Linked DNA regions of Ovis aries. The protein of the gene in region 2 purifies or fractionates together with the protein of the main gene of each other region. This does not show direct contact. Links are inferred from orthologs where the notes say so. Each region holds a gene or a part of one and is shown on either strand. Other genes may lie near its edges.

Evidence for each region. The genes of interacting proteins can lie anywhere in the genome.
Region 1: the proteins of ITCH (region 2) and ENTREP1 purify together in Homo sapiens (co-immunoprecipitation; 3 studies listed by BioGRID and IntAct, counting the BioPlex papers as one, with this or other methods). This does not show direct contact. The link is inferred for Ovis aries from reciprocal best matches to the Homo sapiens genes ITCH and ENTREP1.
Region 3: the proteins of ITCH (region 2) and CFLAR purify together in Homo sapiens (affinity purification with western blotting; 8 studies listed by BioGRID). This does not show direct contact. The link is inferred for Ovis aries from reciprocal best matches to the Homo sapiens genes ITCH and CFLAR.
Region 4: the proteins of ITCH (region 2) and DVL2 purify together in Homo sapiens (affinity purification with western blotting; 4 studies listed by BioGRID and IntAct, with this or other methods). This does not show direct contact. The link is inferred for Ovis aries from reciprocal best matches to the Homo sapiens genes ITCH and DVL2.

What each region holds. Positions count from the first base shown.
Region 1 is NC_056055.1:67,369,129-67,373,243, forward strand, and holds the start of ENTREP1 (endosomal transmembrane epsin interactor 1), read right to left. Parts: upstream 2,816-4,115; 5' UTR 2,732-2,815; coding exon 2,327-2,731; intron 1-2,326. UniProt on the Homo sapiens protein: Functions as an activator of the E3 ubiquitin protein ligase ITCH in the ubiquitination of the CXCL12-activated CXCR4 receptor. Thereby, triggers CXCR4 endocytosis and desensitization, negatively regulating the CXCL12/CXCR4 signaling pathway.
Region 2 is NC_056066.1:63,780,869-63,784,947, reverse strand, and holds the start of ITCH (E3 ubiquitin-protein ligase Itchy homolog), read right to left. Parts: upstream 2,853-4,079; 5' UTR 2,624-2,852; exon of another isoform or gene 1-2,623. UniProt on the Homo sapiens protein: Acts as an Acts as an E3 ubiquitin-protein ligase which accepts ubiquitin from an E2 ubiquitin-conjugating enzyme in the form of a thioester and then directly transfers the ubiquitin to targeted substrates.
Region 3 is NC_056055.1:203,444,234-203,448,416, reverse strand, and holds the start of CFLAR (CASP8 and FADD-like apoptosis regulator), read right to left. Parts: upstream 2,816-4,183; 5' UTR 2,705-2,815; intron 1-2,704. UniProt on the Homo sapiens protein: Apoptosis regulator protein which may function as a crucial link between cell survival and cell death pathways in mammalian cells. Acts as an inhibitor of TNFRSF6 mediated apoptosis.
Region 4 is NC_056064.1:26,835,740-26,840,030, reverse strand, and holds the start of DVL2 (segment polarity protein dishevelled homolog DVL-2), read left to right. Parts: upstream 1-1,476; 5' UTR 1,477-1,727; coding exon 1,728-1,921; intron 1,922-4,067; coding exon 4,068-4,137; intron 4,138-4,291. Other genes in the region: PHF23 (PHD finger protein 23), read left to right, coding at 1-76, 177-391.

The DNA of each region.
Region 1 (4,115 bases), on a different chromosome or scaffold from region 2:
AAAATGCCTCTCACACACATAAATTCAAAAGGTATGCTACTCCTGAAACTCTTGTCCTGCAACAGAGTTATGGGCCTTAAGGCCATTCTCAAATCCTATTCCGTTGTTCCGGACATGCAGTATCTGTTGGTTCTGTTGTCACTGCAAATTCTGAAGACAACCTCAGAAACAGGCCACAAAAAATAACAGTTGCAAATTTCATATAGAGTTGGGGGGCACAGGTGGAAAAAGGACCCTATAGAAGAGACTTAGTTCCAAATCACTGATTCTTTCCCTGCTCTGGTTTGCTGGGTCCTGGGGACAAGAACATGCCCAGCCAGCAGGCCCAAACTAGTAGCCTTTACCATCTGATGCACACGTGTGTGCTAAGTTGCTTCAGTCATGTCCGACTCTTTGTAACCCTATGGTCTGTGGCCCACCAGGTTCCTTTGTCCATGATATTCTCCAGGCAAGAATACTGGAGTGGTTAGTTCATCAAATCTAACCATGGCTCAACTGACATCTGAAATGCATTTACCTCTGATATAATTCACAGGAGTACACTGATTTAGGGGATTAATTTTAGGAGAGAAAAAATAGTTTTCAGTAATCCTGAACTAGTTATCTTTGACAAGACAAGAGATTATGATTTTACAAAGAGCAAATCCCTAAAATGTATGCAAGAGTCACTTCTGGCCCAGGGTATTTAGAGAAATTAAATGCACCCATCATTTGGCTGAATTTAGGCTGACAAGTGGACTAAGGAGTAAGACAGAGCCAACCCCTACCTACCCTGTTGAGAATATTCCTCCTCGTGAAGTTTTAAAGAACTCCCAGAAGCCTGTTGGAGAGCCCAAGGGCAGGGCTAGAAGTGGGGATTTCTTTTATATGTTGCACAGATTGTGAATTCCACCCACCATAGCACAGGCCGTACCAGCATCAAAATAAGGAGAACAAACTGGCATCAGTTTAAGCATAAAAACCAAGCCAGGCTCTACATACCTAATTTTCTTACAGTTCTTATTCAAACAATTACTTTGGGTTCAATTCGTTCTCCCTATAATCTTAAAAGTCTTTGGTTCCCATGTGGCTCCTTGATAAAGAATCCACCTGCTAATGCAGAATGCAGGAGACCCTGATTGGATCCTTGGGTGGGGAATATTCCCTGGAGGAGGAAATGGCAACCCACTCCAGTATTCTTGCCTAGGAAATCCCAAGGACAGAGGAACCTAGTGGGCTATAGTCCATGGGGCTGCAAAGAGGTTGACAGGAGTGAGCACCAACCACCGCCATATTCTTAAATCTGGTCTTGAAAGTGGGTTTGTGTGGACTTGCAAGGACCACCCAATGTTTTTAGGTAGCCTACATTTATTACAGATCTCAGTAAGAACTATAGGCATTGCCAGGCTTTTAGATTTAATTTAGAGAAAGATTGTTTGCTTTACATATTCATCTTCCACAATCACTTCACGAAGATCTGTTTCCAAGTCTCTCAGTCCCCAACAAACCTCAAGACACTGGTTGCCTTGGAAGTTGTGAACTCTTTTGGAGGCAGAGATGCTCCAGGGCAGCAGACCTTTTGCCCCGCATCAGCCTTCTCTGTTGGAGGCGCCAGTCCGGTAGGGCCAGTGGCAGAGCCGGGTAGACATCTCCAAGCTCTCCACATGATGGCTTCCTGTTCTCAAGAATTAAATTCTGCCTAGCAGTTTGTGTGGCTCCAGGAACCCAGTGCGGGCCTAGGGCCCTCCTTTAACGACCAAGTACACGGCGAGTTAACACACTGTTATTACCTCTTGAGCTCGTCCCCAAACACAGTGGAGTTACTTTACACCAGACACTTCATGTTTCCGTTTGCCTCAGTGCAGAATAAAATAAGTGACATGCCCCAACCTGTCACTTCATCCATCCCACAAATACCCCTGCCGTGTGCCTGGTACTGCTGATAAACTGGTGAACAAAATAGATCGAGAGCCTTGCGGACTCTGTTAGCGAAATAAACACTCAATGGCTGAAAGAAGAAGTTTACTCATTTTCTTCCCGCCTTTTTTTTTTTTTTTTTGCCACCGACCCCCATTCTTCTAGTCTCGCCAGGGGCTGGAAATCAAGTTTATCCCATTAGTTTGACAGGAATAACAAAACCCTTTAGCCTACATGGAATAGACACCGTCCAGGTGCAACCCAATTCACCATGGACCTCCACCCTCTCAACGGCCCAAAAACTTCGACCGGTCTGAGAGGTTCTCCTCCCCAAGTGCAGCCCTAGGACGCTCAATCACGAGGCAGAGGAGGGAACCGGCCCTAGATCCCTGCTCCCGCGGTGAGCGGGGCGCGCGCGCGCGGCACTCACCGAGGAGCCGGCCCAGAACGGGCACGAGTTCTTCACCTGCGGGGAGCTGCTCAGCGACAGTGCCCCAAAGCTGAGTGCCACCATGCAGCAGCCCAGGATCAGCTGCAGCAGACCGAGCGACAACAGCAGGCGAGCGGGCAGCAGCGCGGAGCCCGGAGCCCCGGCGGCGGCAGCGGCCCGGCGGGAAGAGAGTGCAGGCGGCGCGGCCAGCACCCCGGCGGCGGTAGCCCCGCAGCGAGGCCGCGCCGGGGGCTGCAGCGCAGCCCGGGGCCAGCGCGGCCGTAGTGGGGGCAGCGGCGGCTCCTGGGCGGCGGCGGCCGCGGCGCCCGGGCCCCCGGCCTGCGGCCCGCCGGAGAGCCCGGCCACCGGGCAGCAGGAGCCCGGGAGCACCACAGGCAGGGACATGGACAAACGGGGAAGGAGCGGCCGGTGGCAGCGGGGAGCGGGCGCGGAGCTGAGCCGCCGGCGCCAGGCTCTGAGCACGCGGGCGGGCTCGGACGCGGAGGGGGCGGGAAGAAAATGCGCACGGCCCAACCACTTGCTGCCGCAGCCGCCGCCCCGGCTCCCGCCGGCCGCACCCACCTGCCAGCCGGCGGGTCGGCCTCCGGCCTCCCGGGCGCGCCCCACTCCCACACCCCGCCCCCGACACCACGCACGCCCTGAGGTCCCGCCGCGCAGCGCCTGCACCCTTTGGGGCCCCGCCAAACCGGCGCTCTCTCCCGGGGCTCCAGAAGAGGTGCCCCAGTTTTAAAACAGGTTCCCTCGGGCTAGGAGGGAACTGCGGACTGGGCGCGGAGGTACCGACAGCCGCCAAGCTGGGGCGCAACAGGAGCGCCGCAGGCGCGCTGGGGCCCCTCGCCCCTTTCCGGTCCAGCCGCGAGCGCGACTCTGGCGACCTTTCATACGAAGGGAGCCCGGCTTTAAACTTTTCCCCGGCCTAGGGGAAGGATGACAGGAAGAGAGCTGTGGGTGACTTGGGAAAAGTCTAAGCCTCAGGGTTTCGGGAAAGGACGACGCAGAGCAAAGTCACCGTTCGCGTGGGGCTTCCCGGCGCTGACTGCTCTGCAGCCCCTCCGCCTGGGAAGTTGGGAGGTGGGGAATGAGGGGTATGGGTGCTTTCCTGGCACCAGCGTAGGAGTGGGCAGGAGGCCAAAGTTTCCTTGGAAGTATCCGGCATCCAGAAAGAGAACCAACGGCCTGGAGCGCTGGCAAGGGTTACATACACTCTGTGGCCGTCTCACGCTGACTCCTGAGCTGTGTTAGGCATCATCTGGTAGAACACAGAATCCCAGACTTTCAGAGAAACGGCCTCATAAAATTCTAATCTGTTTTTGGTAATTTATAAAATATATTTAGAACTTAAAAAGAAATGATTTGCCTTTGTAAAATTTCATTTCCTAATGGTAGGAATTCTTATGTATTGAAAGTGTTCTTATACATAAAATGATTATGATAGAATTTTTTCAGGTTAAGAACCAGAGCACTGTCACTCTGCAGAAAGTCAGTCTCAGTATTAGGTGAGTAATAAGTAAGGGGAGGGTATTTTATATCCTCCTGCCCACTAAACCAAAGGAAACATGTATCTGTTTTTATGCTCTGCTTACAAAGGCTGTATTTATTTCGTTCATTACTTACTGTAACTCACAATGTAATGCACTGCCAATGTGCATGTGGGTCTACATGTACACTTTTTGAATTATTAAAGCACCTGTGATTCATAGTCTCAAGGACTTCTTTTACAAACTCCTCTTGGAAATAAACGTCAAATCCCGGAAAAAAAAAGGAGTTG
Region 2 (4,079 bases):
CATATACCTGGCACATATATTGATACCAACCACTAGATAACTAGTGTCCACAGGAGTCATCACTAATCAATCATAACTCACTTTCCCAGAGAACCCTTATGATTAAAATCCTTCTCAACACAGGGCTTCTGGCAGCTACTTCAAGTGAAAGTTGGCCCATAAATCAAAATGTATCTGCTACTGTGGACTAGATAATCTCTACAATCTCTTCCAACTCTTTAATATGTATTATTTATTTATTTGGCTATGCTGGGTCTCAGATGTGGTATGTAGAATCTTTAGTTGCAGTATGTGGAATCCAGTTCTCAGAACTGGGATCGAACACACAACCCTTGCATTAGGAGCATAGAGTCTTGGCCACTGGACCACCAGGGGAGTCCCCCAACTCTAAAATTCTAAAACCAAGTTTCTGAGGGTGGGAGAAAAAACACTTCCCAAAAAGCTCATAAACCAATAGCATTGATAGCCATAAATTTCAGTCTAATCTCTAAATTCTACAAATTGTACCTGATCAAGGATGCTAACAATAAATTCTGATACCATTAACATATATAACTGTGCAATACTATTCTGATTTGCTAATGGGTTCTTTTGACAGAAAAGGAACCTTTTACCCAGAATGGCCCTAAAGAAATCCTCATACAAAAATAGGACAATATTGCACTAGTAAAGAACTAAATTTAATCCCTTGATCATGCCCACGGCCTCTCAATGAGGACAAGCCTTTCACTTCTCACCTAAACCACTGCAACAGCCATTCTTCCGTCCTTTCACTCATGCCACAAAGCAATCTTCCCAAAGCAAACATGTACTCAATATCATTTTCCTGTTAAAAAATCTGTATCTAAAAATAAATAAATAAATAAATAATAAAAAATCTGTATCTATTGCTAACAACATAAAACAAGTTTTTTTCTTGCCTCACATCCATAATGCTCTCCTTCCCCATCCCACTCCCTGCTCCCTTTTATCTTCCACAATCCTGTGTTTACTAACAGTACTGAGGTGTTTCCTCTGCCCTGTCCTTCCCTTTCTCCATTACAATAACACTTCAGCTAAGACCCAACTTCAGCTTGAAGCAGATTCTTCCTCCTCAAATCAGACACAACTGATTACCTCCTCTTCCATCTCAAAGCTTTTGGTTTATTCAAAGTATTGTCTCAAAGGTTTCCAAAACCATCAAAATTGCCTGAGGCAAGTTTTAATCCTCAAGGCCGACCCAAACCTATTAAATCAATCTCGGGAAATAAGGCTCTGAAATTTCTACTTTTAAAAAAGCTGCCCTGATTATTTTAATGACCAAATTTGGGGGCTACTGGTTTGTCTCTTCCAGTTGGTGTAAAGACGTTTCTTTAAGGAATGGAAAAATGATTTACTCTAGAATACACTGAGGAATTATCCTGCACTTGTTTATTTCATATCCTTGTTGACTTGACTCATATGCTGAAGATGAAGGAATTCCTTTCGGACTCACACCCAAAAAACTTATATCCACTGTTGAAAACAGCAGGTGAATTTCCACCTTCATTTCTAAATCTTAAAAATGAAGTAACTGTAACCTGAGTAAACCTATGAATACATGATTAAGACTCTCACCAGACCTGCTCTGAGAACTTTATTTCGGCAGAGAAACAACTCTCTAGCCCATTTTGAGGGTGGAAATACACTGCCTCTAGTACTTCCCTACGATCTAATTATATTAGGAATACATGCAAGACTCAAACTAAGTACAGTGATAGATGGATGGCTCAAGTGCCTCGTTAATTTTCAGAGAAAAATTCCCTGAAATGTCTCTTCCTTCCCCACCCCTCACTCCCAAAAACTACACTGAAGCTGAATAACAGCGGAAAATCTAACAAGATACAAACATTAGCAAGAAAACAAGGTGAGTTGTTACTGGGGAATCGTGGATTTCGGGTAGTTTGCAAATCCACCAGGTTACATCGCTAACTTGAGGCCCAGCGTCTACCTGGGGCGCAGAGATCCTGTGTTTCGCTCTACGTCGCGGCCCGGAGCAAAGTCTAAGAACTTGAGTTCCCCACTTAGTCCCCACCAAGTCCTGTCCTCATCACGACTACTTTTTCCTTCTCTCCGCTAAAGAAAAGGGCACTTTCAGGAGGAAGGGCAGTGACAGCTCCACGTCTGCAAAACTCGGCGCCGGCGGGGCCGCTGCGGCGGCGGCGGGCGCCGACGACGACGCCGGGGCCGGGACCACCACGCTGGGGGACAATAGACGGAGGGGAATGGAAGAGAGAAGAGAGGCAGCCGCTGTACTTGGCCCCTCTCGCTGGTGCGAGCTCCAAAAAGTCTCGGGAAGGGCAGCGGGTGGCAGGTGGGCCCGGCCGCCGCCCCTCGCAGGGCCACGTCGCCCGCCCCGGCCGCTGCCGCGGGGCCCCTCGCGTAGGCCGGGCCGCAGGAGCAGAGCCCCCGGGCGGGGCTGACGGGCTCTGGGCTGGACCCCGGGGGCGCCCGCTGGGGCCCAGTTCTCTCAGAACTTGGCGCCCGCGAGGAGAGGGGCTCCGACCGTCTGAGCCCAACAGGGGCCGCTCGGGGCTTCCAGATGACCCATCCCCGCCACCCCTCCGCCCGGCCCCTGCCACTAGCCCGAGCTCCCCGCGCCCACCACGGGCACCGGCTCTGAGGGAAGAGGAAGCAGCCGCGGCTCGGGTCCCGGCTGACGCGCCGCACTCCTCTACCTCTCGCCCTCCTCCGACGTATTCATCCAGGACCCTCCCTCTCCCCAAAATTGCCTCCAGTCCGCCCGCGGGTTTTTACCGGGACACGGGGCGGCGGCTACTCTTCAGTCCCTCGACTAAGATGGCAGCCGGTCCCGATTCCGGACCACAGCTACTAGAACGAGTTGGCGGCCAACGCGCAGGCGCCTCCAGCTCCGGAGCTATCAGGACTACAAGCCCTAGAAGTCCTTGCGCACTAACCAGCTGCGGGCAGGAAGACCTAGCGGAGGCTGGTGAGCGCAGCTAAATCCGAGCTTGTATTTAGCTAGGTGGGAGGGACTCTTGGATTACTCCCGGTCAGTACAGTTGCTCAGTCGTGTCCGACTCCTTGCGACCTCAGGAATTGCAGCACGCCAGGCCTCGCTGTCCATCACCAACCCCCGGAGTTCACTCAAACTCATGTCCATCGAGTCGGTGATGTCATCCAGTCATCTCCTCCTCTGTCGTCCCCTTCTCCTCCTGTCCTCAATCCCTCCCAGCATCAGTCTTTTTTTCTTAATTTTTTTTTAATTTAAATTTATTTACTTTAATTGGAGGCTAATTACTTTACAATATTGTATTGGTTCTGCCACACATCAACATGAATCCGCCACGGGCGTACACGTGTTCCCCATCCTGAACCCCCCTCCCCCCTCCCCCCTCCCTCCCCTTCGCATGAGGTGGCCAAAGTATTGGAGTTTCAGCTTCAGCATCAGTCCTTCCAATGAACACCCAGGACTGATCTCCTTTAGAATGGACTGGTTGGATCCTCTTGCAGTCCAAGGGACTCTCAAGAGTCTTCTCCAACACCACAGTTCAAAAGCATCACTTCTTCGGTGCTCAGCTTTCTTCACAGTCCAACTCTCACATCCATACATGACCACTGGAAAAACCATAGCCTTGACTAGACAGACCTTTGTTGGCGAAGTAATGTCTCTGCTTTTGAATATGCTATCTAGATTGGTCACAACTTTCCTTCCAAGGAGAAAGCGTCTTTTAATTTCATGGCTGCAATCACCATCTGCAGTGATTTTGGAGCCCAAAAAAATAAAGTCTGACACTGTTTCCACTGTTTCCCATCTATTTCCCATGAAGTGATGGGACTGGATGCCATGATCTTCGTTTTCTGAATGTTGAGCTTTAGGCCAACTTTTTCACTCTCTTCTTTCACTTTCACCAAGAGGCTTTTTAGTTCCTCTTCACTTTCTGCCATAAGTGTGGTGTCATCTGCATATCTGAGGTTATTGATATTTCTTCTGGCAATCTTGATTCCAGCTTGTGCTTCTTCCAGCCCAGCATTTATCATGATATACTCTGCATAGAAATTAAATAAGCAGGGTGACAGTATACAGCCTTGATGTACTC
Region 3 (4,183 bases), on a different chromosome or scaffold from region 2:
ACTAGTATAAAAAGTATGTAGCATCTTTTCATTATTCTTAGGTATTCTGAAATTTCACAGTACATGCTGTACCTCCACTATTTGACTTCACTGTGCTTCACACTCAAGAGTCTTCAATCTGGAAATATATCCTTAAGTTCTAGGAGACTTTAAGTATTTAGCTGGTGATCTCTCCTATCCATTTTTCTCTGTTTCTTTTACTTTCCTTCCTTCCTTTCATTCTTTCCTTCTTTTTTACATTGCCCCTCCTGAACTTGCTCTGTACTTTTTGTCCTATTTTCTCCTTTTTTATTTGTCTTTCATCTCTATTTTGGGGGATACTTTTTCTATTTTCCAACCCTTCTATTAAGGTTTTCTTTTCTTTTTTTTTAATCCCAGAGTTAAGAATAATAATCTAGTTAAGGCTCCTTGAATGTTTGAAGATTGTGAAATGCAAACAAATTCAAAAATGTGCACTAAACATAAATACATATATTAATAAAGAATGGTAAATCAAACATCCATGTAACTGCCACCCAAAGGCACAAAATAGGATCATTTCAGAGGCCTCTGTGTGCCCATCCTTTATCATAACCCACGTTCTCCCCTAAGAGATAACCACTATCTCAAATTTGGAGATAAGAATTTTCTTGACTTTATAAGTTTTACCATTTACCTATGCATCTCTAAACAATACAGCTTAGTTTTTACTATTTTTGCACTCTATATGGATGAAAACAAACCATATTCATCTGTGCCTTTCTTTTTATGCTCAATATTATGTTCATTGAGATTTACTGTGTAGTATGTCAGTACAGTTCATTGATTTTCATTGCTGTATACTATAACATTCTTAGAAGAAAACAGAGTAGAAAAATCTTTGAAACTTTGGGGTAGGCAGAGATTTCTTAGAGCACAAACAAGCACAACTCATAGCAGAAAACATTTACAAATCAAAAATTTTAATCTTTCCTTCAAAATATCCGCATTAAAAAAAAATAAAAATAGGACTTCCCCGGCAGCCCAGTGGTTAAGACTCTGTACTTCCACTGAGGAGTGTGGATCTGGATCCCTGATCGGGCAACAAGACCCCAAACACCAAAACTAAAAGTTTGCATGCTACAACTAAAGATCCTGGGTGCCACAACTAAGGCCTGGAGCAGCCAAATAAATAAATAAATGTTTTGTTTTGTTTTATTTAAAGAAATGAAAGGGCAACCATAGATTAGGGCTTCAATATATATCATCAAAGGACATAAAGCCTGAATATATGAAGAATTCTTACTCTGAATAATAAAACTAATGACTCACTTTTTAAATGGGCAAAAACTTTGCCCAGCTACCTCACAAAATAAGATAAGCAACGGCCAATAAGTGCATGAGAAACTATTCAATATCATTAGTTATCAGGGAAATGAAAATTAAAAGCCTACAGGAATGGCTAAAATCCAAACAGTTGACAATACGAAGAATCAGTGAGAATGTGAAATAACTACAACATACATTACTGGCAGAAATGTAGCACAATAAAACTTGGAAAATAGTTTGGCTATTTGTTATAAAGTACACTTCAGTTCAGTTCAGTTCAGTTGCTCAGTCATGTCTGATTCTTTGCGACCCTAAGAACTGCAGCCCGCCAGGCCTCCCTGTCCATCACCAACTCCCGGAGTTCACTCAAACTCATGTCCATTGAGTTGGTGATGCCATCCAGCCATCTCATCCTCTCTTGTCCCCTTCTCCTCCTGCCCTCAATCCCTTCTAGCATCAGACTCTTTTCCAATGAGTCAACTCTTCACATGAGGTGGCCAAAGTACTGGAGTTTCAGCTTTAGCATCATTCCTTCCAAAGAACACCCAGGACTGATCTCCTTTAGAATGGACTGGTTGGATCTTCTTGCAGTCCAAGGGACTCTCAAGAGTCTTCTCCAACACCACAGTTCAAAAGCATCAATTCTTTGGTGCTTCGCTTTCTTCACAGTCCAACTCTCTCACATCCATACTTGACCACTGGAAAAACCATAGCCTTGACTAGACAGACCTTTGTTGGCAAAGTAATGTCTGTGCTTTTGAATATGCTGTCTAGGTTGGTCATAACTTTCCTTCCAAGGAGTAAGCGTCTTTTAATTTCATGGCTGCACTTAGCATATAATAAAACAAAAGCCCTCCTAAGCACTTACTCAAGAGAAATAATATATAATATATATACAAAGACTTGCAGATTAATTTTTATAGCAGCTCCTCTAATAATAATCCAAAGCTAGGAATAACTTAAATACTCACCAAAAGGCAAATGGATAAACCATGGGAGTGTATCTATAAAATGAAACAGTAGTCAGCAGTAAAAAAGGAAGAAACAGAAGGGACTCAAGAAGGTGGAGGAGTGGGTGGACATGGAGTACATCTCTCTCCATGGATGTATCAAGAATACATCTATAGATGCAACAGTTCTCACAGAACACGGCCTGAACACTAGCAGGAGTCCCTGACCACTGGAAAGGATTTTATGGATACTCGCATATCTGGGTAGGACAAAAGAAAGAGAGGAGAAGGAAGAGGAGAGAAAGCGCTGGGGGAGCTGAAGCAGGGGAGAGATTCCCACATCCGGAGGAATCAGTTGGGACAGAAAGGGAAGCATTTGGGGCTGTCGGAGGGTGAAGCAGCTGATCCATGACAGTCCGAATAGAGTGAAAACCACACAGACAATCCGAGCCGCGGCCCTACATAACCTGTCCCAGGATGCACGTCCACCGATGGCGCATGGCAGCTGGGAGCTGGAGCATGTAGACTGGAGAGCAAACCCAGGGCGAGGACTGCTACTGATTCCGAGGAGATGACCTGAAGGAAAGGAGGAAATCTGCAGCAGGATTTAAGGGAAACAGCCTTTGAAGGGAAACAGGGCGGCTCCGGAAGCAGGGCGCTACTGGTAAGTTACATGCAGGGGGTGGAGCCGTCTATGTAGCCTCTCTCTCCCCACGTTACCAGCACTGGCCCCTGAGCAGTAGAGAAGGATCCCAGAGAGGGCAGCCCTTCAAACACCAGCTGCCAGAAGCTAGAAAAGACTATTAGAGTCGTATCCCTTGAGCCCATGGCGCCTGGTGCTCTGGGAGTCTCCCCGATCCAAGCAGCCATGCCATCTCCACTCCTGGTCATCACTCGGGGGGACCCGAGTCCTCCAGGGCAGCCTTAGGAGTAGACTCTTATGGATGGCCCTCAGGTAGATGTGGGGATAAAACCACAATTGAGCTCCAGGGGCAGAGTGCCTAAGGAAAAAGATTAAAACCCTTTTCATCAGCTGCACAAGCTGCAGATTAAATCCATACAATCAACTAGGTAAACCCTGTGTCTGTGGAATATATGAAGACAAAGAATGTTCCCTGAAAAGAAAACCCTCTAGCTCTGGCAGCTGCAGACACTGGAGACAAGCATACCCAGTAGCAGGGCCAGATCAGAGTCTGTCCTCACAGCAGGTCGACCTGCTTTCCCCAGCACTGGAGGGCCTCCTAGGGAAGTGGAGATGGGCTGTGGCTCACAGTGAAGGGAAAGGATGCTGACAGCTGATCCCTGAGAAAATATTTATTATTATTCTTATGTTTTGATTCCTTCTGTTGTGGGTTCTGGTTTTTTTTCCTTTTTTTTTCTCTCTCTCTCTTTTTTCTCTGTTGTAGTTTTTATTTTTATTACTATTATTATTTCTATTTAGGTTTTTGAGATTCTTTTAAATCTTACTTTTTCTTTTATACAGTCTATTTCTGTTTAGCTTTCTGCTGTTCTGTGCTTTTTTGGCTTGTTTTTTGTTGTTGTTGTTTTCTGGGGGTTCTTTTTGTTGTTGTTGTTTTTCTTTAATATATGTGGATCTTTTTTACATACTTCTGTTTAACTTTGCATTTCTCTTTTGTCTCTTTTACCCCCACCATTTTTGTTTGTTTTGTTTTCTTTGCTTTATTGTTCAGTTGGCACTCTGCTTTGGTTTTGTTTTCTGTTTTAGTTAGTTTTGTTTTTAACTGATTGATTTAATTTTTGTTTCTTTTGTTCATCAGGTCAAAAGAACTGACCTGACTTTATTGGACTCTCTTGGGTTTTGTTTTCCTTGGTCTGTTTTGATTTCTTTTGTGTATATATGGGTGTGTGTGTATGTATGTTCCTTTGTTTTTGTTTCTATCTGCCTGATTTTTCTTTTACCCTTTGTCTGGGTTTTGTATTTTGCT
Region 4 (4,291 bases), on a different chromosome or scaffold from region 2:
ACAAGCCAAGATGGAGATGCCAGCTCCAGTGAAGGCGAGATGCGGGTCATGGATGAGGACATCATGGTAGAATCAGGTGAGAAATTTGGGGCTGCCCAGGGGCAACTGGGTTGATGGGTCTTGGGGTAGTGTGGCTCCAAGAACTCAGAACACCAAACATACCTTCTTTTTTCCAGGTGATGATTCATGGGATCTGATCACGTGTTACTGCCGGAAGCCCTTTGCAGGCCGGCCCATGATTGAGTGCAGCCTGTGTGGGACGTGGATCCACCTCTCTTGTGCTAAGATTAAGAAGACCAATGTCCCTGACTTCTTTTACTGCCAGAAATGCAAGGAACTGCGGCCAGAGGCCCGGCGATTAGGGGGGCCTCCGAAATCTGGAGAACCTTGACACATGCCATCTCCAGGCTGGAACTTCAAATGGAAACGTGACTTCGGAACTGAGCCTCAGGGTCAACATGTTCCCTGAAGCTGGGATGTTGTCCCACTTCGAGGCAGAAATTCCCAGGGGAGACTGGTTTGGAAATGAGTGGTTTTCCTACCCTACCTTTCCTTCCCACCTTGTGGACTTGAACTTGGACCCATTGCAGTTGCGGGTGGGAGGCTCTCTGGGTCCCTAGACACTTAAACTGTCCGTGCCACTGCTCAGTTTCTGGGCCAGGGTTAGAACTGGGATGGAGTGGGACAGTTGTCTATAAAACTCTAGTGTAAATATAGCACTCCCCTCCCTCATCTTCTATCTCACTCCCCATTTATTCTACACCGGTTGTATTTTTAATTTAGGACTTCCCCTTTTGAGCGTGGCAGCTCAGAGGTGGAGTGCCAACCAGAGCTTGGCCAAGGGAGGAAGGAAAACAGAAAGGTGACGATTCCTCACCTCTTTTGTTTTTAATAATTCTGGCCAGCTGTTTGTACAGACAGCCTGCGTGTTGTAAATAAAGCAGAGTGGGCTCTTCTGTGTTTATAGCCCTCACTGACTGTCGTGCTGGGGAGGGAGGCTTTGGAAAAGCTGGCTGGAGGTGGGGCTGAAACCCACCTCTACTGAAAATGATCTAACTGCGCCTTTCCCACCAATCCTATGACCTCAATTCAATTGGCTTTGCCCCGCCTCATCCCCAGTCAAGGACCATCCCCCTCCCCCAATTCCCACCTACACCTCCCACACGCGCGCTCCAACGCATGAAAGTTGCGTGGAGCTCCCTGCCGGAGCAGATAAAGCGTGCAGGCATTGCTTGCTTGCCCCCTGAGGGCAAAGCCCAGCCTGGTCAGGGTAGTCGGAGGACGCGGGTGCGGACACACAAGGAGGAGGAGCCGCAGAAGGTTGGGAGACCGTTGCTGAAAGCAGCAATCATGTGGCGGGGGTACTAGGCGGAGCCGAGAGGTCACGTGACCACGAGATGATCACGTGGTGGAGGCGTTTCGAAAAGGGGGTGGAGTCGGTTCTGATCACGTGACGTGGGGAGAGGTGGGCGGGGCGCTTGGAGGGCACTCGCGAAAGCGGTGGCGGCGGCGGCGGCGGAGCCCGCGGCTTTGGGAAGCGCTCCACGGCTCGACCCCCTTTTTCGCCGCCGCCACCCTGCTGACCCCCGCCTTCCTCCCTTTCACACCTCTCTGGCGCTGTGTCGGTCCTGGTGCTCGTGCGTCGGTTCGCGGGACTGCGCAGGCGCGGCGGGGGCGAACAGCCCCTTTGGGTGGGCGGCGGAGCCCGGGAGCGCGCGGGCGAGACCATGGCGGGCAGCGGCGCGGGGGGCGGTGGTGTTGGGGAGACGAAGGTGATTTACCACCTGGATGAAGAAGAGACTCCCTACCTGGTGAAGATCCCCGTCCCCGCCGAGCGCATCACCCTCGGCGATTTCAAGAGCGTCCTGCAGCGGCCCGCGGGCGCCAAGTACTTTTTCAAGTCTATGGATCAGGATTTCGGGTGAGCGCGAGGCCTAGAACAGGATGGATGGGGGCTGTGCTTTTGTGGAGTGGGTGATATTCAGGGGCATCGGGCTACCTTGGGACATGCTGTGATTTTCTGGGCACTAGTGGTGCGGATTTTACTGTGCTGGTGTAGATTGATTATCCCAGGACGGACAACGTTACGCTTGGATAGATTGAGGCGCACGGAGCTGTAGGAGGACAGACTGGGCACTGCTAAACCAGATTAGAGAAGATTAGGCTATACTGGAGTAGTACACTGATTTATTTTCGGGTGTTCTGGACAGCGATGAGGTAGGTTGATGTATCCTCTGGTAACTACATTGTGAGCAGTCCTGTGCCACACAGGTTGTGGAGGGATATTGGGAAACCTGCTGATGTCAACTGGGCTATACTGGGCCAATTTGGGATGTTCTCTGTGATACTAAGTCAGACAGGATTGTTTGGTGGATATTCTAGTCTGTACTAAGGCAGTGTGCTGTATTGGGCTGCTATTATGGTCTGCACTGGGTTCTGTTGATCTTTGTTTCTTTGGGGGTCTAGTTTTTTTGGGGATACTCAATATAGGGGTACACAGGGCTGACCATGTCTGTGTTAGTACAGACAGCTGTATTGGGATATTCTAGTCTATATTGGTGTAGACAGCTGCTTGAGGGGACATTCTAGCTTATACTAGAATAGTTTTGGGCTATCCTGGATAATTTGGGATAGTCTGGAACCTTAAATAATTCAGGGTAGCCCTTTTTGTGTTTTATACCTTTAGGACTGTACTGTTTGTCCTCAATCGCAGCTCTTGAAGGGAGGCTGCCTTAGGCTGGGATAGCTTGGATTCTAGGAAAGCTGAACAGACTGGACTTTATCTAGAAAGACCTGGAGGTAGGGATGGTGGTACTGTCTTGGGAGTTACCTTGTATTGAAATTCAAGGTTCTTGTGTTTGTCAGCACTGTATAACCTGGGGCATTTAACTTTGTTCATTGATTTCGTCTGTGAAACAGTTAACCAGAGTGAAATGCTTAGTACAAGTGCATGGTATGTATGTTCTTGGTAAATGGTCGTTGTGTTTATTAGCATGGAGTCTACTTCTTGAACTAAATCACTTGGCAGGCTGGACTGTGTTGAGATTGGATTATGCTGTGAAGAATACAAGTGTTAGGCTGAGATAGATTGGTAGTCGCTGGGCTGTGTCATCACGTTAATAATAGATGGGATTGAGTTGACATATATCCAGGGTCCTAGAATCATATTAGTCTAAAGGGTTAATTAGACAGGCGGTCCTAATTTTGGGGGTGAATGTGTGTGAGAGTGTTCAGGGCAGAATGTCTCATGATCAGTATGTTTATCAGTTTAGCCAACAGGTGTTTGTTAGTGCTTAGGCAGCATCAGGTACTTTGCTGTGTGGTCAGGGACTTGGGGTTGAACTTGGTGTTGAACAAAATTAGCACTGATGATTCCGTCTGGTGGTTGCAAAGAAGGAGCAAGTTCGGTCCATTGAAGGAACCCATGGGTGAGATCGCCCTCACGGCTGGGCTTTGGGGTCTGTCAGGAGGAGCAAATTGCTTAATGCAGAGTTTGTGCCAGGTGAAGCACGGAGGAACGGGGATCTGGACTTCACCACTCCTTAGGAGCTCAGTCTACTAAGTACCATTCTTTGATCTAATGGGTGTTGTTACTAGATGACAGTACATTTGAACATCCATCTGAAAGTGAGTTAGAGAAAACTAAGGAAAGCATAAGATTAGAGACGTAGACAAGGAGCACAAAGCCTTTGTGGGGCAATTGTGTGTGGAATGGGGTGGCTGCCTGTGAGGCTTCTAAGGTTAGATATTGGGGGCAGCTAGGGCAGCCTTAGGGGAAGGCCTTTGAAATTGGGCTGAGAGGTTTCAATCAGACTCTTGGAAAGCTCTGGAACAACGCTGAGCCCAAGGATGAACTGGGGAAAGAAGGAGAAATAAGGAAAGGGAATTCAGTTTGGTGATTTCTTGGGTGTAAGAGTGAAGTGTCTCAATGTCAGAGAAGAGGATTTGCCATGGTGGGAGGAAATCAACATCCTTGAGCTGGATGAAGATTGGGAGAAACTTCAAATGCAGGTGGGAGTGGGGAAAGCCGTTCCAGTTTCACTGACCTTTATCTTATCTCTTGGCAGGGTGGTGAAGGAAGAGATTTCAGATGACAATGCTCGCCTTCCCTGTTTCAATGGAAGGGTAGTATCCTGGGTAAGCGGCCTGGCTTTGATGACCAGTCCCTTTGGCACTTCCCAGCTCCTCCAAGCCTCAGCCTGTGCCCATCCATCTCAGCTGCTGGAATCTGTGACTGTTTGCTTCCTTACCTGTTTGTTTCTTTGTGTTTGGCCATGCACCATGTGGCTTT